Alligator mississippiensis: one gene and its partner. The protein of the gene in region 1 interacts with the protein of each later gene in a biochemical or structural test. Links are inferred from orthologs where the notes say so. Each region holds a gene or a part of one and is shown on either strand. Other genes may lie near its edges.

The links.
Region 2: the proteins of NFKB1 (region 1) and MAP3K8 form a complex in vitro, tested with the Homo sapiens proteins (2 studies listed by BioGRID and IntAct, with this or other methods). The link is inferred for Alligator mississippiensis from reciprocal best matches to the Homo sapiens genes NFKB1 and MAP3K8.

The regions. Positions count from the first base shown.
Region 1 is NC_081825.1:163,075,792-163,083,169, forward strand, and holds the start of NFKB1 (nuclear factor NF-kappa-B p105 subunit), read left to right. Parts: upstream 1-4,370; 5' UTR 4,371-4,534; intron 4,535-4,787; exon of another isoform or gene 4,788-4,805; intron 4,806-7,378.
Region 2 is NC_081828.1:191,317,078-191,325,078, forward strand, and holds the start of MAP3K8 (mitogen-activated protein kinase kinase kinase 8), read right to left. Parts: upstream 3,019-8,001; 5' UTR 2,916-3,018; intron 2,835-2,915; exon of another isoform or gene 2,747-2,834; intron 2,714-2,746; exon of another isoform or gene 2,582-2,713; intron 1-2,581.

The DNA of each region.
Region 1 (7,378 bases):
GCTGGCAGCAGCTGCTTAGAGCCCAGGCTGGCGGTGGTGTGCCGAGCAAAATGGCCTTGCATGCCATGCTCGGCATGCATGCCGGGGGTTGCTGATCCCTGGTATAGGGCTTTAGCATTAGTATAGTATAGGGTTGTGCTAGCCCTGAATACATGTTTGTCCATTTTGTCTAGTGGTTACCTGCACATTTTGAAAAGAACCAGAGATAGAAATGGTAATTGTGGGACTCCACAAATTGAGGGGTCAAGTATCGGAGATGAAGGTTCCCATCACAGCTCATCAGATGCTTCCCACCCAAAAATATTTAAAGTATTATAGTGCTTTACTTATGACTTTGGGTACCTCTTTCAACCATTTCTTTTGTTTCAATAGATACATTAAGAACACCAAAAACTATTTTTAACAACTTATCTGTCTTTCTTATAGCTCTATATTGATAGAGGAACTGATTCACCCTTGCTTAACATTTCGTACTCAAGTACTGACCCATCATTCTTAAAGGTAGGAATTCAATTTCTTTATTGTAAACATCACAACTTTATCTCCACTTGATGTAAGATTCTTGTTAGAACTACCTAGAAATAGAAAAATGAGAGCATAGTTAATTAAAATATAAAAACTAGTAGTGGAATTGGTCTGGTATTATGCAAATAATAACTAGCCAAACACAATAAATATGCTTAAAATGTGTTGAATATAATGTATATACCCTAGAAACTCTTTGGTCCCCATCCCCCCAACCAAGAAAAGTCTACAGACCTTATTATTCACCCTAATACAATTTGCTCTGGGCCACAGTGATTATGCAAACAAACAGGAAACCTGTTCTAACTCAATGTCTAGTGGTTCTTCTAATATTTCTCTTCAGGTGGTATAAAGTGAGCTAGGCTACCTCCATTTTAAGAGAGTTGGCCCAGCAGGTATGTCAGGGGTGCGGCGAGATCAGGGCCAGGCAATTATTTCGGCAGGAGAGCCGTTTAGTGAGTTTTGGTAAACTGTCAAGGGCCACAAGGATAGCCCCACCCCTTGACAGGTGCCTCGCCCACTGGTCACTATCTTGGAACTGAAAGTCCCATCCCCTAACCCTCTGACCTTTGCCACCCAAAGTCCCTCACCTTCCCCCTGGAAGTACATCTTTTGGGAAGGGGGTTAGCCATCTTGGAACCAGAAAAAAACCCCAAATTATATTTTAAAAATCAAACATCTGCAATAACATATTTTTATTTTATTTTTTAAAAATATTTTTGTCCCGATTTTGTGTGTGTATGCGCTGTGTACATAGAGGTGATTGCATAATAGCTCAAAATGAAGTCTTACTCTTGTATATTGTGGTGGGGGGTGGGGAGGGGTGTGGGGGAGTTGTGTAACATCGACATCAACACTTGGGAGACCCTTGCTCAGGACCAACCAAAATGGAGGAAGGCTCTTTGGGAGGGACCACAACACTTTGAAACAGCTCGTCGACAGGCAGAAGAGGAAAAGAGGAACAGGCTAAAAGGACATCAGAACATCCAACGCAGCAACACAGTGCCCATCCCTCCTGGAAACACCCGTCCTCACTGCAACAAGATATGTGGATTTAGAATTGGGCTATGGAGCCGCCTGCGGATTCACTATTAAGAGGCTTAGAAGACAATCTTTAGCATTTGTGAGTGATCAGCCATCATCATCAGAATATATATTTACTTATATAGAGAGGCATAAATATTTTTGGAAAAAAAACCCATGCAGAAGATCCCTTGCAAGATTGGGACCTTGCGGTCTGATATTGCTTCCTCTGAAGTTAAAGACAAACCATCCATTGACTTCAACAGTAGAGGACTGGGCTGTAAGACAATGAAAGTTATCTTTTTTTTTTAAAGTAAAGTGAACCAAATCCTCCATGGAGCAGGCACAGGATATAAGTTAGAGGCTAAGTGTTAGGGGCTGAAGCTATTAATAATTTTCTTTTAAAACTCAATCTGCTCGGTTTGTTTTAACTCTTATTTCTATGCCATCATGTCTGATGTTCCAGTACTTGTTCATTCAAGTTCTGCCTGTGAGTAGCTGTGACATGGCAGCTTTTCTTTCAACTGAATCTCTCTGAAACATTTCTCATCTTTTAAATCTATATTAAACTCCTTCATTCAGAGCCCTGGGGCCAAAATCTTTATACTGTTTTTACTCCAGTGAATTCAGTGTACTAACTTTGTACTTCCACAAGGGAGTTCAGATTCCTGTCATGGGACTGAAAAACTCCTCAGAATTGATTATTTCTCTTAGAAATGCTAAAACAATGAAAGAGTTTGTGAAAAATTCCATTTTCAGAATTGCATGATGAGTCAAGAGAACAGTTTGAAAAGAGAAATTCAGGGTCTTTATCTGTAAATGATTTCAGTTCCCTTATCAAAAACACAGAGAAAAAAAATTGTGGGTCATGCGGGATTTTTGGAAACAGCCTTGAAAGTAATGCTAAATGAGTATTAGAGATGGGAATGAGCCACAAAATTTGGCTGAGGGAACGCTATCCAAACCCACATCTGGATTTTAAATTTGGTCAACCATAGATAGCCACAAGATTTCAATCCAAACCTCTGCTGAGAAGAAATTATGACACCTTTCCTCCTCTGTACCTTCCTACTGCTGTACCTCTGCAAAAATGTGATTCATCATTGATTGAATGTAGCATTTTGGCTGATTTCTGCTCCGGTTCTGGAAGAGATCCATGTTTCAGTGTTAAAGAGGCAAGATCCACAGTTTTGTACACTGGCTATTAATTCATTGTTTAAAATCTTTTTCCATCCCACTGCTGTACCCAGTCCCCTGCCATGCAGGGAGGGGCACTTGCTCAAAAGAAAGAAAAGTTTATTTCCCTCAAAAACTTCCCACTGTTGCTTGTACTTGCTCAGCTGCACCAGAAGTAAAAGAACCACCCCAGATTTTCAGGAACAGTCCCAAACATCATGGTGGTGCCAAAGCAGAATAGAAACAGTACGATTGGGTCATACTGTGCCCCTGGCTAATTAGCTTTGTCAACGCTGCATGAATGCAGCTATAGTAATTAGCGATGCCATGAAGTGGAGTTAAGTAGCTTGGATACAGAAGAGTGCCATGTAAGTACAGCTCTGCTGCTTCCGGTTCAAGAGGTTTCCCTGGGCAGAGTCCATAACACTCCAATATTGCAGCACATGATTTAAAATAGACTTTTTTTCTCTTTGTGGCAGGAGAGGATTTTCCTGTAAGTGTGGACCAGAAGAGGGGGTAAACCACTTCCAGTTCCAGAGGCCTGCAGAGCATCCTAGATTTTGCTTCATAAAAGTTCATATCAGCATCAAGACCCTCAGTATATTATCAATGATTATTTTTACTTTAAAAGGGCCAGGCAGCTGGGGAGAGAGGGGGGGTCTGTTGTGCTAAGTGCTGTACAAATGTATAGTAAATGCTAGTCTGTGCCACACAGACTATTGCAACCCCAGTTGCCCTCCAGCTCCAATGCCTCTTTTAGCATTTTTTGAGTAGATGATGCTTTAACTGGCACCATACTAAAACGGGTGCAATGTTAGCAACAGTGGGGGCAGTGCCTGCATGTTTTTAAATGCCTAGTACTTGTGCCCTCACACAGCTCCCTTTGAGCTGCAAAACGTGTTTGCTGGGGTGAGCAGTTCCTGCTCCTGTGGAAGCCAGATTGTGTTCTGGGGGGATGTAACCAGCTTCTTCCTCTCTAGGGTTTTCCCTGGGGAGGGCGGGGGGGGGGGGGTAGAGTTTCTCTCATCTGGCACTAGGGTGGCCGTCATAGAGGACAGTCCGGTTGTGCTCTATTGATACAAAGCCCTTTTTGTCCTGTATTTTCCTCCCAAAGAGGACAAATAGAGGACAAAATGGAGCGATCATTCACCAACTGTGCCCTTCACAAACTATGGTTTTATTTGTCGTACCAATTCTGGGCCTCCTTAATTAGGACAAATAGAGGACGTAAAGGTGTATCAATAGAGGACAGAGTAGCAGAAAACCTGAGTGTCCCCTATCCGGCGCAGACTGTTTCCTCTCTGGGCGGTAAGCGACTGGCCCGGGTTTGACTCCCTTCAGAAGAGGCCGGGACACCCTCCCACACCCGGGGAAGTGGAGGTAGCCCGGCTTGAACCCGGGCGGCACAAGGAGCTTGCGGGACCCTGCGGGATCCGGGACGAGCGGCTTTGCCGGGTCGCAGCAGCACCCCCTGAGGCGGTGGCGGCGGCAGGCGTCCTGCCCCCTCTCTCCCCCGGCCGCCGCCTCCGCCGCAGCCGCTCGCTTGGTCTCGAGACGTCAGCGGGAATTTCCAGCCAGGAAGTGAGAGGGGCGAGCAGCTGGGGCCGCGGAGCAGGAAGCGGCGCTGCGCGCACACACTCGGGCACACGGGCACGGCGGCGGGCGGCGCTCACAGGGCGGCGGCCGCGGGTCCCGGCCGGCCGGCGGCGGCGAGCGGCTCATGGCGCGGCGCTGAGCCCGCGACAGACGGGACGGGACGAGCGGAGCGGAGCGGAGCGGAGCGGGGGCCTCTTCCCCGCGCCCAGGCAGGGTGAGTACGCAGCTGTGCCCCGCCAGCGGGGAGCCGGGGTCACTCCGGATCGCGGGCGCGGGGCTGTGAGGAGCGGGGGGGGGGGGGTCACGTTGGCCGGGAGGGTGCCCTGAGGGCGAGGGGGGCGGGCAGCGCGCCCGGCCCGGCCCGGCCCGGCCCGCTTCCTCCCTTGGCGCAGCCCGGCCTGGGGCCGCCCCCGGCCCTGGGGAGGGAGGGGCTGTGCCCGAGCCGAGGGTCTGGGGTTGTCATCGCCGCCGCCTCTTGCTGCTGTGTATGTCTTTCTTTTTGATATTTTTATTTTGTTTTTTGCTTGTAATTGTGTAACTTCAGAAATCCCTGTGTTTAGTTGCTGTGTCATGACGCAATTTGTGGCTGCTGATCCTGGCGGCCAAGATGCACGCAGGGGTTTTCCCCCCTGCCTTCATGGGGATGCTTGTGGGGCTCTTCTGAGCCAGGTGGGAAGAGATGGGCAGGCATACAAAGCCCTGCCAAGGGTAGGGGGCAAATCAAGGGGAGAAGGAAACGCTGGATGTATTACTGGCCTCTGCCTCCTTCCACATGCCCCCCTCAGGGGGTCCTTTCTTTGGGTGGCATCTTCTACTGGACCCACTGTGTCAGTGGGATCAAGAGACACCAGCTTTTGAATATAAGGCACTCTGTTTCAGGTAATGGTCATACTGGCAGGTGGGTCAGGAAAACCAGTTCAAGTGCAGTAGTGGCACCCCTGAAGCCTGCTGCTGGCAAAGCCCAAGTGTCGCACGTGAAATGGAGCAAGCTGTGGTCTTCGCAAACTATGGTTACCTTCGTCACGCCAGTTGTGGGCCTCCTTGATTCACAGAAAACCACTACAGTGCCAGCTGTGTAGATATTCTGCATAAGGGAGGAGAAAAGGGGTGGATGCAAAGTCCTGCCAGGTACAGGAAACAAAACAGCTGAAGTGGATGCATACCACTTTTCCACCCTTTTTCTCCTCCTTTGCTCAGGATATCTATAGTTCTGGCACTGTTGCAATTTTTTTCCCTGTGGATTAAGGAGACCCAGAATTGGTACAACAAAGAAAAGCATAGTGTGTGAAGGCCACAGTTTGTGAACAATTGCTCCATTTTTGTGTGACGTTCTGGCTTTTCCTGCAACAGCCTTCAGGGGCTCTGCTGTTGTATCTGATTTGGTTTTCCTGACTAACCTGCCAGTTGAAAGTATAACTGTGACTTAAAGTGGGATACTTTGTGTTTTGAAAGCTTGTCTAACTGTATCCCAGTGATGCAGTGTGTCCAGTAGAAGATGCCTCCCAAAGAAATCTGGGCCTCTAGTGTAACTGTAAACATTGGTGGTGAAGTAGCATGGGAAAACCCTAATAGTGAGCGAGAACCATGAAAGGTCTCTGTTGCAAATACAGGGAAGATTACAAGCAGTTTTACAGCTGGTAGCTGGCAAGGGTTTAAGGGCATCCACAGTACTAGATAGAAATGAAATACTCTTTCCATGATGGAGACTAATATCTGACACTTTGTTGCTATTATAGCTGACCCTAACACATGGAAGGTTCAGTTCCACATTAGTTTTTCTGCTCTGTCATTAAATGTTTTCTTCATTTGAACATAAAGACACACACACAATTTTATGTTCAAATGAAGAAAAAAAACTTAATACTGCTTCCTCCAGGACAATGGCAAAGCAAGAAGAAAAAAAAAAAATGCAGAACTGAACCTTCCAAATATATAAAATAGATATTATTTCTTTAGCCTGGACTCCATTTTGTATACAAATACAGGCAATGGGCCTGATCCTACAAAAGCTTTTACATGTACAACTTTATTCACATGTTTAATTGTATACCCGTGTAAGTGTTTGCAGGATTGGAGCTTTACAAATAAAACCTGTCTGTTAATTCAAAAGCATATTTCTGTTTTCCAGTTTAAAAAAAAGTTAAATATTGAAGACACAAATCTTTACAAAAAAGTAAAGTTTGAGAAGAAAATAGAGATGTTATTTAACATGGCATAGAGCACAATAAGCTTCGATTAATTTGTCACTGGTTTAATTTGCCCTTTGGTTCCCTTCTCCCCCTGTTATCCAGTTCTAAAAGTTGGTCATTACCAGATAACTTGTCATTATTTCTATTCACATTGCAGTGACAAGTTAATTAGAGTTTACTGTAAATAGGAGTATTTAACTGTATGGTTTAAAAAAAAAAAAAATCCCTTTTATTGTTTTCTCTATCATTTTCTTTCCAAGACAGAAATCCGAACAGATCTTAGAGAGCATGATTCTTCATTCTGGCACATCAGATTTACACTGAAATAATGGAGTTAAAAATATGGCCTTAACATTTTTTAGCTGTTTGTTTATTGTTTTTTTTTGAAGTTCTTAAACTTTTTTTTGCTGTGTATTACAGATTCGTTTAGCTTTGTAAACATACTAGTCAGAGTTACTTTCTCTGGGTAAAAACCCATACTTTTGTAATTTGAAGAGAAGATAAAACTGTTCAGATTTGGTTCCCTGTAATCTATGTTAATGAATGATCAGTAAGTTAGTTGCTAAAATGCTGGAACAAAGCACTTTATAAAACCTGGATGCAGCCTCTCAACTACTATAAAATGTTATAGTTCAGTGACAGTGATCTCAAAGATAGTGAAATTATGACAATATTGACCAGCTAGGGATCTTCACATAATATTTTTACATGTGAATTTCCTTTACCCCTCTATTACCTTTGGTTTATTGTTTGCAAGACTGAGTAATTTAGTTATAAAAGGTTTTCAGTTTAACAAGAGAAAAGCCTTCCTTTCCTGTCCACACTCCCATTGAAAGAAAATGATCAACAGTAAAGTCAGCACAAAGTAA
Region 2 (8,001 bases), on another chromosome or scaffold:
ACTTCTGCCCACAGGGGCTCAAATGAAAATGACCAAAATATTCACTGATTTTATTCTTCTCCTGCTCAAAATAGCATGGGCAGCTAAAGTTTGTTCACAGAGGAAGAAAGAAACACAACATGATTTCATGTGTGGAAGGCTGTTTAATCAGAATGAGGTTTAAATTTTTCTTTAAAAAGAGTTTATATACTTCAGCTGTCAGTGGCTCATATATGACCTTTAGCAAGAAAAGTATCTACTTGCCACTCGTGAATTAATTTTTCCTGCTAAGCCTCTTTAGTTGTACATTAGAGCACTATTTGGATGCACAATATGAGAAACAAATCATAGCCACTTCCATTCAGTGTTTTCCTAATATACATAGCAATCAAGGCCCTGTAAATAGTTTGTGTTTCTAATTACAATTCTGCTTTTACCTACAAAAGCAAAAAAAAAAAAAAAGCACGCGTTAGTCAGCTGCTTGAAGTTTAAGAAAAGGAAAAACTCTTCCTCCAATCACATCATTGCTCAACCAACATCACATGAGCCACTGGCAAGTCAAAGAGTTTTTTTGTCATGGGTAGTTTTCAGCCAAGGAAATGTTATTGTTACCTTGTCATATTTTTTTTTCTTCCAGGTATTAAAAAATATTCCTGGAATCCCAAACTGATACAGATTTTTTGCATGGTCCAGGCCCTATTCTGCAAACTAACTAGCTTAGTGTAAACACATATAAATACTATATCTGTTCTTGTTTAACCAGCCATCACCTATAAATAAAGGAATGGAGCTGGTATTTTTCCTTTAAATGCTTTCGCACTAAGATAATCGCAGGTCTTGAAAAATATCACCAAAGAAAAGAAAAGTGTCTGGAGGAAGGCCAGTGCATCAAGTTCTGCAAGACTGTCACAAGGAAGGGGAAAACCTTTAGTCTTTAAGATCTCAAGAAAGAATTTTCCATGTATGTATTCACACAACAGCTCCATTAGCCTGTGGTCAGACAGCTCCAGCAAAACTGAGAGACAGCTGCAGCAGAGTAAGATCTAAAGGACAATGCTCTCATTCCATAGCTGAACACATCCTATTTGATGAATAATAAAAATTTCTCCTGCAGAAAACCCCCATGTAAGAGACGGGGACAACTTTAACAGAATTTTAGTGCTGCTCCTCACAGCCAATTCCCTGATGTCACTGCAGTAGGACTCCTTCAACCACATGACCTTGAACATTCAGTTCAATTATTGTAAACTGAGCCCTATCTAGAGTTAAGAGGCCTTCTACAGAAGAGTGCTCACGTTGATCAGTAGGAAGTTGAAAGGTTACTGGCTCTATCCGGGTCTGTCAGCTGGAATTCTGCTTTACCTTGCTAGCTTGAGTTGCAAGTGTCAGCAAAGCCAACCTTTGAACATTATGTCAATGCTCCTCTGACACGGACTTCACCTAATTTGGGAGAATTTTTCCTCCCCCGTCATGTTCCTTCCCATTCCTGTTCTAATACAACACATTTCAAACTAAAGTACCTGAGCTAAACAGATAACTCAAGATGTAGGCTAGGCCAAAGTCTTCACAGATACTTAAATAGGTGCTAACAGAATATCACCTATGGGGGGAGGGGGTGTATGTATTGTATACACACCCATATGTATACACATGTATACTCATACCCAGAGCTGACCCTAGAGGTGTACGGGGCCTGAGGCATATCAGTCTGTGCAGGGCCTGTGTGTGTTGGGGGTGGAGGGTGGTGAGTGGCTGGAGCCCAGAGCCGGCAGGGCCTGTACGGCACTGTCCACAGGGCGCCCCCCCAAGCACGGAGCCTGGGGCAGTCGCCCCGATTCACTCCCCCAAAGGGACAGGTCTGCTCATACCTATATCTAGATATATCTATATCAGTCTATATAGTTATATCTATATCTGTATAGATAATCTCTCTCTCTCTCTATATATATATACACACACACACACACACATGCATACATATACACACATACACAGATATGTACGTAGACATATAGATAGATCTATACATATGCATATTCTATTAGCACCTATTTAAGTATCTATCCAGACTCTGCCACCTGGAGATATCTATAGATATATCTGTATCCCATTACCTATATACATATTCCAACATACATCCAATTCCTTATATAGAGTTCTCCCAAAAAGTCCCTCAGTCTTCATGGGGTAGGCCAGGCCAGTCTTGACAGATACTTAAATAGGTGCTGAGAGAGAGAGATACCAGTATTGCCAACTCTCATGATTTTTTGGTGTTCTTAAAGTCTGTGCTTTGGGACCCTGCAAAGAATATATATGAAAGAATGAGCAAAGTGTTTCACAGTCCCAAAGCACAGACTTTAAGAACAACACCGAAATCATGAGAGCTGGCAATCCTGTAATAAACACAATACACATTGCATGTGTGTACGGTGTGTGCATACACACAAACACAGATATATTTATCTATATAGACAGACAGACATCTACTCCAGGAGCACCTATTTAAATATCAATGAAGACTGTAGCCTCTAGAGACCCCCCGGCGCACAGCCCTCCCGCGCGGTGCCTGGTGCCGCACGCGCCCCGCTCAGCCCCTCCGCACCTCCGCGCTCCGGCCGGGCTTGTCCGGCTCCGGCTCCGGCGGGGCCAGAAGAGGGGCTGAGCCGAGCCGAGGTCGGTGTCGGTGTCCCTGGTCCCGGCCCGCGAGCAGCGCCGGCCCCACGGGACCTGCCCCCGCGCACGTGCGCCCGCCCCGGCTCCCCGGTACCTGCCGCGACGCGCCGCGCGCCTGCAGCGAGCGCTGGCTCGGCCGGGCTGCGCTCCGCCGCCGCCGCCGCCCGCTCGGAAACTCGGCGGGACGGGGCGGGGCGGGGCGGGGCGGGCGCAAGGAGCCGGGAGCCCCGCCCGGCGCTCCGCGCTGCCCGGCCGTGACTCACCCGGGGGCAGGCACCTCCCGCTGCCGCCGCCGCCGCCGGTTTCTGTTTGCCTTTACAGGAACCCGCGCGGCCGCTGCCTTGTGCAAGCGCTGGGAACTCCGCACCCCCCGGCCCGGCCCCCTCGCCTCCTGGGCAGGGCAGAGCCCGGCTGAGGGACGGGCCTTGGCGCCGGGGCCTTCACGCCAGAGCCACAGGGAGCCGTCGCTTCTAGTTAGGCGCCTAAATCCCACTGGAGCTGGGCTTTCGGCACCCGAGTCCAGCACCAAGATTTTCATCCCCCCTGCTCAGCTGCGGCCTGGCCCTTGGTGCACTTGCAGGAGGGTCTCTGGCAGTGCCCATGCAAAAAAAAGGCACCAAGAGCACGGGCACCGTGGAGCTGGTCAGCGCCCTGGCTGCCGACTTCAGTCCTGGCGCAGACTTGTCCCACCTGCTTTGACTGCGGGGCCCAATCCAGGCAGCACTCCCCTTCCCGAGGCCGCAAGGCTGAGCCAGTGGTCTACTGCAAAGAGCATTTGCCTGGGGGGGGCACATGTAGCTCCAGGGAAAGGCAGGCAGGCTAAAGGCTAGGGAAGTCCACTCCACGCTAAAGGTGGTTGCCATGTCTAAGGGGTCAGGGCCTCTGGACCTACGGCTACCCGTTTGTAACTCAGGAGAAGCGAGCAGACCTGCCCAATGCTAAAGACTCTCCTCTTATTGGGGAGGGGAAAGGGCGCTCAGGGCTGGGTCTTCAACTGTTTCTTTGGAACAGTGAACAAAACAATAGGGAAGGGAGTGTGGGTTGAGGTTTACAATAAGAAAGAATAACACCCTCTCCCCCCACCAATAGCACCCATATGACTAGAAGTTTTCTACAGAGACATGAGAGATGTTTTCAAATGCCAGCTTGTCCTGATTTGGGACAGGGAGCCTCTTATATCCCATAGCAGGTCCCTAAGCTGGAGTGAGTCTTTTTCCAGTCATTCTGGTTAAAGCTATGCTAGGACCTATAAAAAAAGTAACCATTTCTTGGGCCAGAGAGAAAGCAAACAAGTGAGAAAGTGACCCTACAGCTTATGAACAATGTGCTCCGGAGAGATGGGTGATCTCTCTTTTGAAGACATTAGTTTTCAAATCCCAAAATTTCAGGATTTGCAAACAGGTTTCTCACCTCCCAGTTGCTTAAGCAAGGGACCTCTCATTTGTTTGGCATTTCCTGCTGGCTAGTTGATATGGCTGATATTACTGGCTCCTGTGACTCCCAGTCAGGTACTTAATTCTCTCTTGCGTTGCACAGGGAGTCTGAGCCGGTAACTCAGAGCTGTGGGTTCCACTACCTGGCAGAGTATCAAAAAGTTAGGTGTTACAACAGTCAAGGCTGTTTTTGGAGTTGACCAAATATAATTTGGTAGAGGGACTCAGGCTCTTTAGTTCTGGATGTGAGTTTTGTAATTGCTGCAAAATCCATTTTGTTTAATTTATTAGATGTATATGTTATCTTCCCCCAAAAGGCTTAGAGCAGCTTACAATAAAAACAAGATAACTTGTAAAAACAGATACAAGATTAAAATAAAACTGTGCAATGAAGCGAACTCTCCAAACAAATGTTCAGGGCTACATTTTACGTCTTCTTTCCATAGCAGCTCTGCAGCACAGTACCACCTTTTCTATTGAGTACTTTATTCGAAGGACCACCAAAACCACTTCCTCCAGCATGTCACTGGGTTTTGTAAGTGATGACTGAGCCTGGTCATGTTAATGAGATCAGAGTGATATTTTCCGTATATTTATAGCTATAAACATTATATGTAAAATGCTGCTGACTAAAGTCTTGTTATCCTCAAGGAAGCCAAGAATCCACTCTAAACTTCAGTGTTTCTTCTTTTCAGTACATATAGGCAATTGGAATAAACCCCTTGTGATGGGCTGTGGGCTTTGTTGTAATCTTTCTGTGCAAACTGTGTTTAAGTTGCAATAATGTTGCGTGCCTGTTTCCTCTGGCTAATTTACACAAGGGGAAAAGAATGGGTTAAAGAGACAGTGAAGGAAAAGATCTGCTTGCATATGGGACCTCTAGCAGCCCACCTTAAATAGTTTTGTTGACTGTATTAACAAAGGTGAGATGTCCCACACCCAGGCCTCTGTTGGGGAGGCTGAATGAAATGAGCACAATGGGGAGGCGGAAGTGTGAACAAGAAAGGGAGGGAGTCTAGAGTTAGAGACCAGTGGTGTCAGACAGCCCATTGCCTGAATCTGGCCTGGGCAGTTGTGGAAGGAGCCATGGAATTTGGGTATGGATCCCTGTTGGCAGTGGGACTGCCTTACCCTGCTACTGCTGGCTCTGCTACTTTCTGCCACTTGCCCATCCCTTCAGCTGCTCACCCCACCCCCAGAGGTGGGTCTGCATCTGTCCCTGCAGCCCAAATCCGGCCTAAGGGCAAAATGAGTTTGACACCCCCTGATCTAGGCCATTCCTATTTATTAATGCATTACAAAATACTGTAAGAGTGGACTTGGCCCTGTGTACACGCAGATGGATGTGGTTCCAGTCCTCAGAAGCACAGATGATAAATTAACTGAAATTCAAATCTTTACCTCAGAAAGTTTGTCTTGTTTTATTTATGTACTATTTGACTGCACTACTTTAGTGGTCCTTTTTCAGACTTGACACCCCCTGTTTGGCTCAAGGTAGCCCCCAGAAAATGCCAGCTCTTACTTTTCACTTTGCTTTTAACTACAGAAAAATAATAGAGCAATTCTTCCGGTGCAAAGAACCAAGAAAGACCACAGCAGAGCAGAATGTTTTTAGCGCTATGAATTCTTGCCTGAAATCTCTGGGTTTATCCTGTGAATCATGGTTGCACACCAGCACTACTAACACTGAATAGCACCTGCTATATCCTTGAAAGGCTCTCAAGTCACTCCAGGGTGCTGTGGCACCCTGGTTGAGAATCACTGCACAACCTGATATGCCATCAAGGAAAGATCTCTCTGAAGTACAAGAAGAAAGTGTAAAGATGAGAGGAAGAAAGAAATAAGTGGGCATTCAAGAAGGGACCTTGAGAGAAACACAGGCAGTAGGAAAGGAAATAAAATGAAGAATGAATGCTAGCAAATAGGGAGGGGTGAAATAAACAGAGATTTAGGGTGGGCGGATGAGTTAGAATAACACATCTTTAATTATATAGTAGCTCTCATACAGGCAGACCTTAGATATTATTGTTAAAGAACTAGTGCAGTTGTTAATTTTCTTAAGCGCACTATTCATTTTAATAAGATCATTTTCTTTTTTAGACCAGCCTCACAGGAAGTTGAGTTTCTCTCCTTAGCTCATCAGTGAATTTATGAAGAACCTGTCATACAATTCTGGAGGAAAAACATAAGAGTTTTTATAGACAGGTGGAGAAGACTGGAAATTCTGGTCACATACCCCATGTAAGAACAAATCTAAATGCAAAGTACTAACTAAAGTTACTGTGCTGTAGTGACAGCACGTGGGTTTTTAGTGATGCTTATTGTGCAGCAGCCTAATACTACTGCGCAGTAGAGTGTTAACACGGTTTTTGTCTGGCACACTACTGCACAGTGTTATTAGGCTACTGTGCGTTAAGCATTCATGTAGATGTGCCCAGTCTCAGATTCTTCTATATAATTCTGTCTACATCCATGCTAATTTGTAAATGTTAAGATACTACAGAAAAGTAGGTATAATCTCCAAATTGCAAATTGGTAAGTATGACAGTCACGCAGTGTTCTGTGCGCTCTGCCCCTGCTTTCCCAAGAGCACCCCCTACTTTCCTTCCTTCCAACCCCTCCAAAGGAGTTGGGTGTGGGTCTCCAGTCTCCTAAGGCAGGGGACCTGAGGGAGTGAAGGCAGAGCCCACAGGAGAGCACTCATGAGCGGTCTGCCCCACTTTCTCCCCTGTCTTCATGGGGTTGGGGGAAAGATCAGTGGGATGCTGGAGGATGAAGCTGTCCTCTGATGCACTCTGGGCAGTGTAGCATGCACACATGAAACAGGAAGCGCTCCAAAATAGCACATGTTCTCCTCAGGGTTCTTTTTAAAGTACTTCCACCAATTTCAGAACACTTGAAAGCAGGGGTGGGCAAAATGCTCCAGGCTATCCTATCCAGCCCCTGCCCCAAATTTAGAAAATTAATATTTATCTGCCTCTGGCTGCCTGTCATGCCTCCCTTGATGACTTGCCAAAACTCAGTAAGCAGCCCTCTGCCTGAAATAATTGCCCACCCCTGCTTTAAAGGGTGTGTATACCTGCTCGCTTCCCTTTGAAGGATTTCAGGGATCACTAAGGAGCTTCAAACACTACTCTGTCCACACCTAAATAGTAACTGAACATGTCCTCCAAGATGTGTAGCAAAGGGGTGGGGGTGGGGGCAGGAGGGGAGGCGAGTGGGGTGACTGTCCTGGGCGCTGAAGCAAAGGGGTGCCAACATACGCTGCCCTGCCAGCACAGAGCATGGGATGGAGCTGTGAGCGGCTCGCTTGGGGGGGGCTGTGGGGACTGGGGGAGGGTTTCTCCCTCCACTGCGTGCATGCCTGGGCAAGCATCCCCCGGACGAGGGTGGGCTGCCTCTGGGGGCTTTGTTCCGGGAGCCAAACTTCCTTGCCAGAGCACTGGAGTTGTCACACATTCTCAAGCACTAACTTTATAGCTGGTTGGCACTTTTTTTATAGCTGGAAAGTCATTTTTCTTGTGTGATAATCACTTTACACTTGGCGGGTCTACATTCATTGCACAGTGCCCGTGCAGCAGGGGCCTCCACACCCTCACACACTGGCTTGGCTTTATGACTCACAGCAGTCCCAGGGTCAGGGCTTTGCTCCGGGCCTAGAGCCAGGCTCCCAACCCCTGCAGACTCGAGGTGCCCCTTGCCAGACCCGATCCCCCTTAGGAAGTGCCAGCTCGTAGTTTCCCCTCCTTTTTGGATGACAAAAAAAGACCAGAGCCCGCAGCAGGACACGACGCTTCCCAGACCCCGGCTTGATCCCTCGCTCCCGCCGCCGCCCAGCAGCGTCCTTCCCAGCTCCCGCCGGAGCCGCGCGCAACTAGGGCGAGGCTTGACCCTCGCGCCGCGCCGTACACGCTCG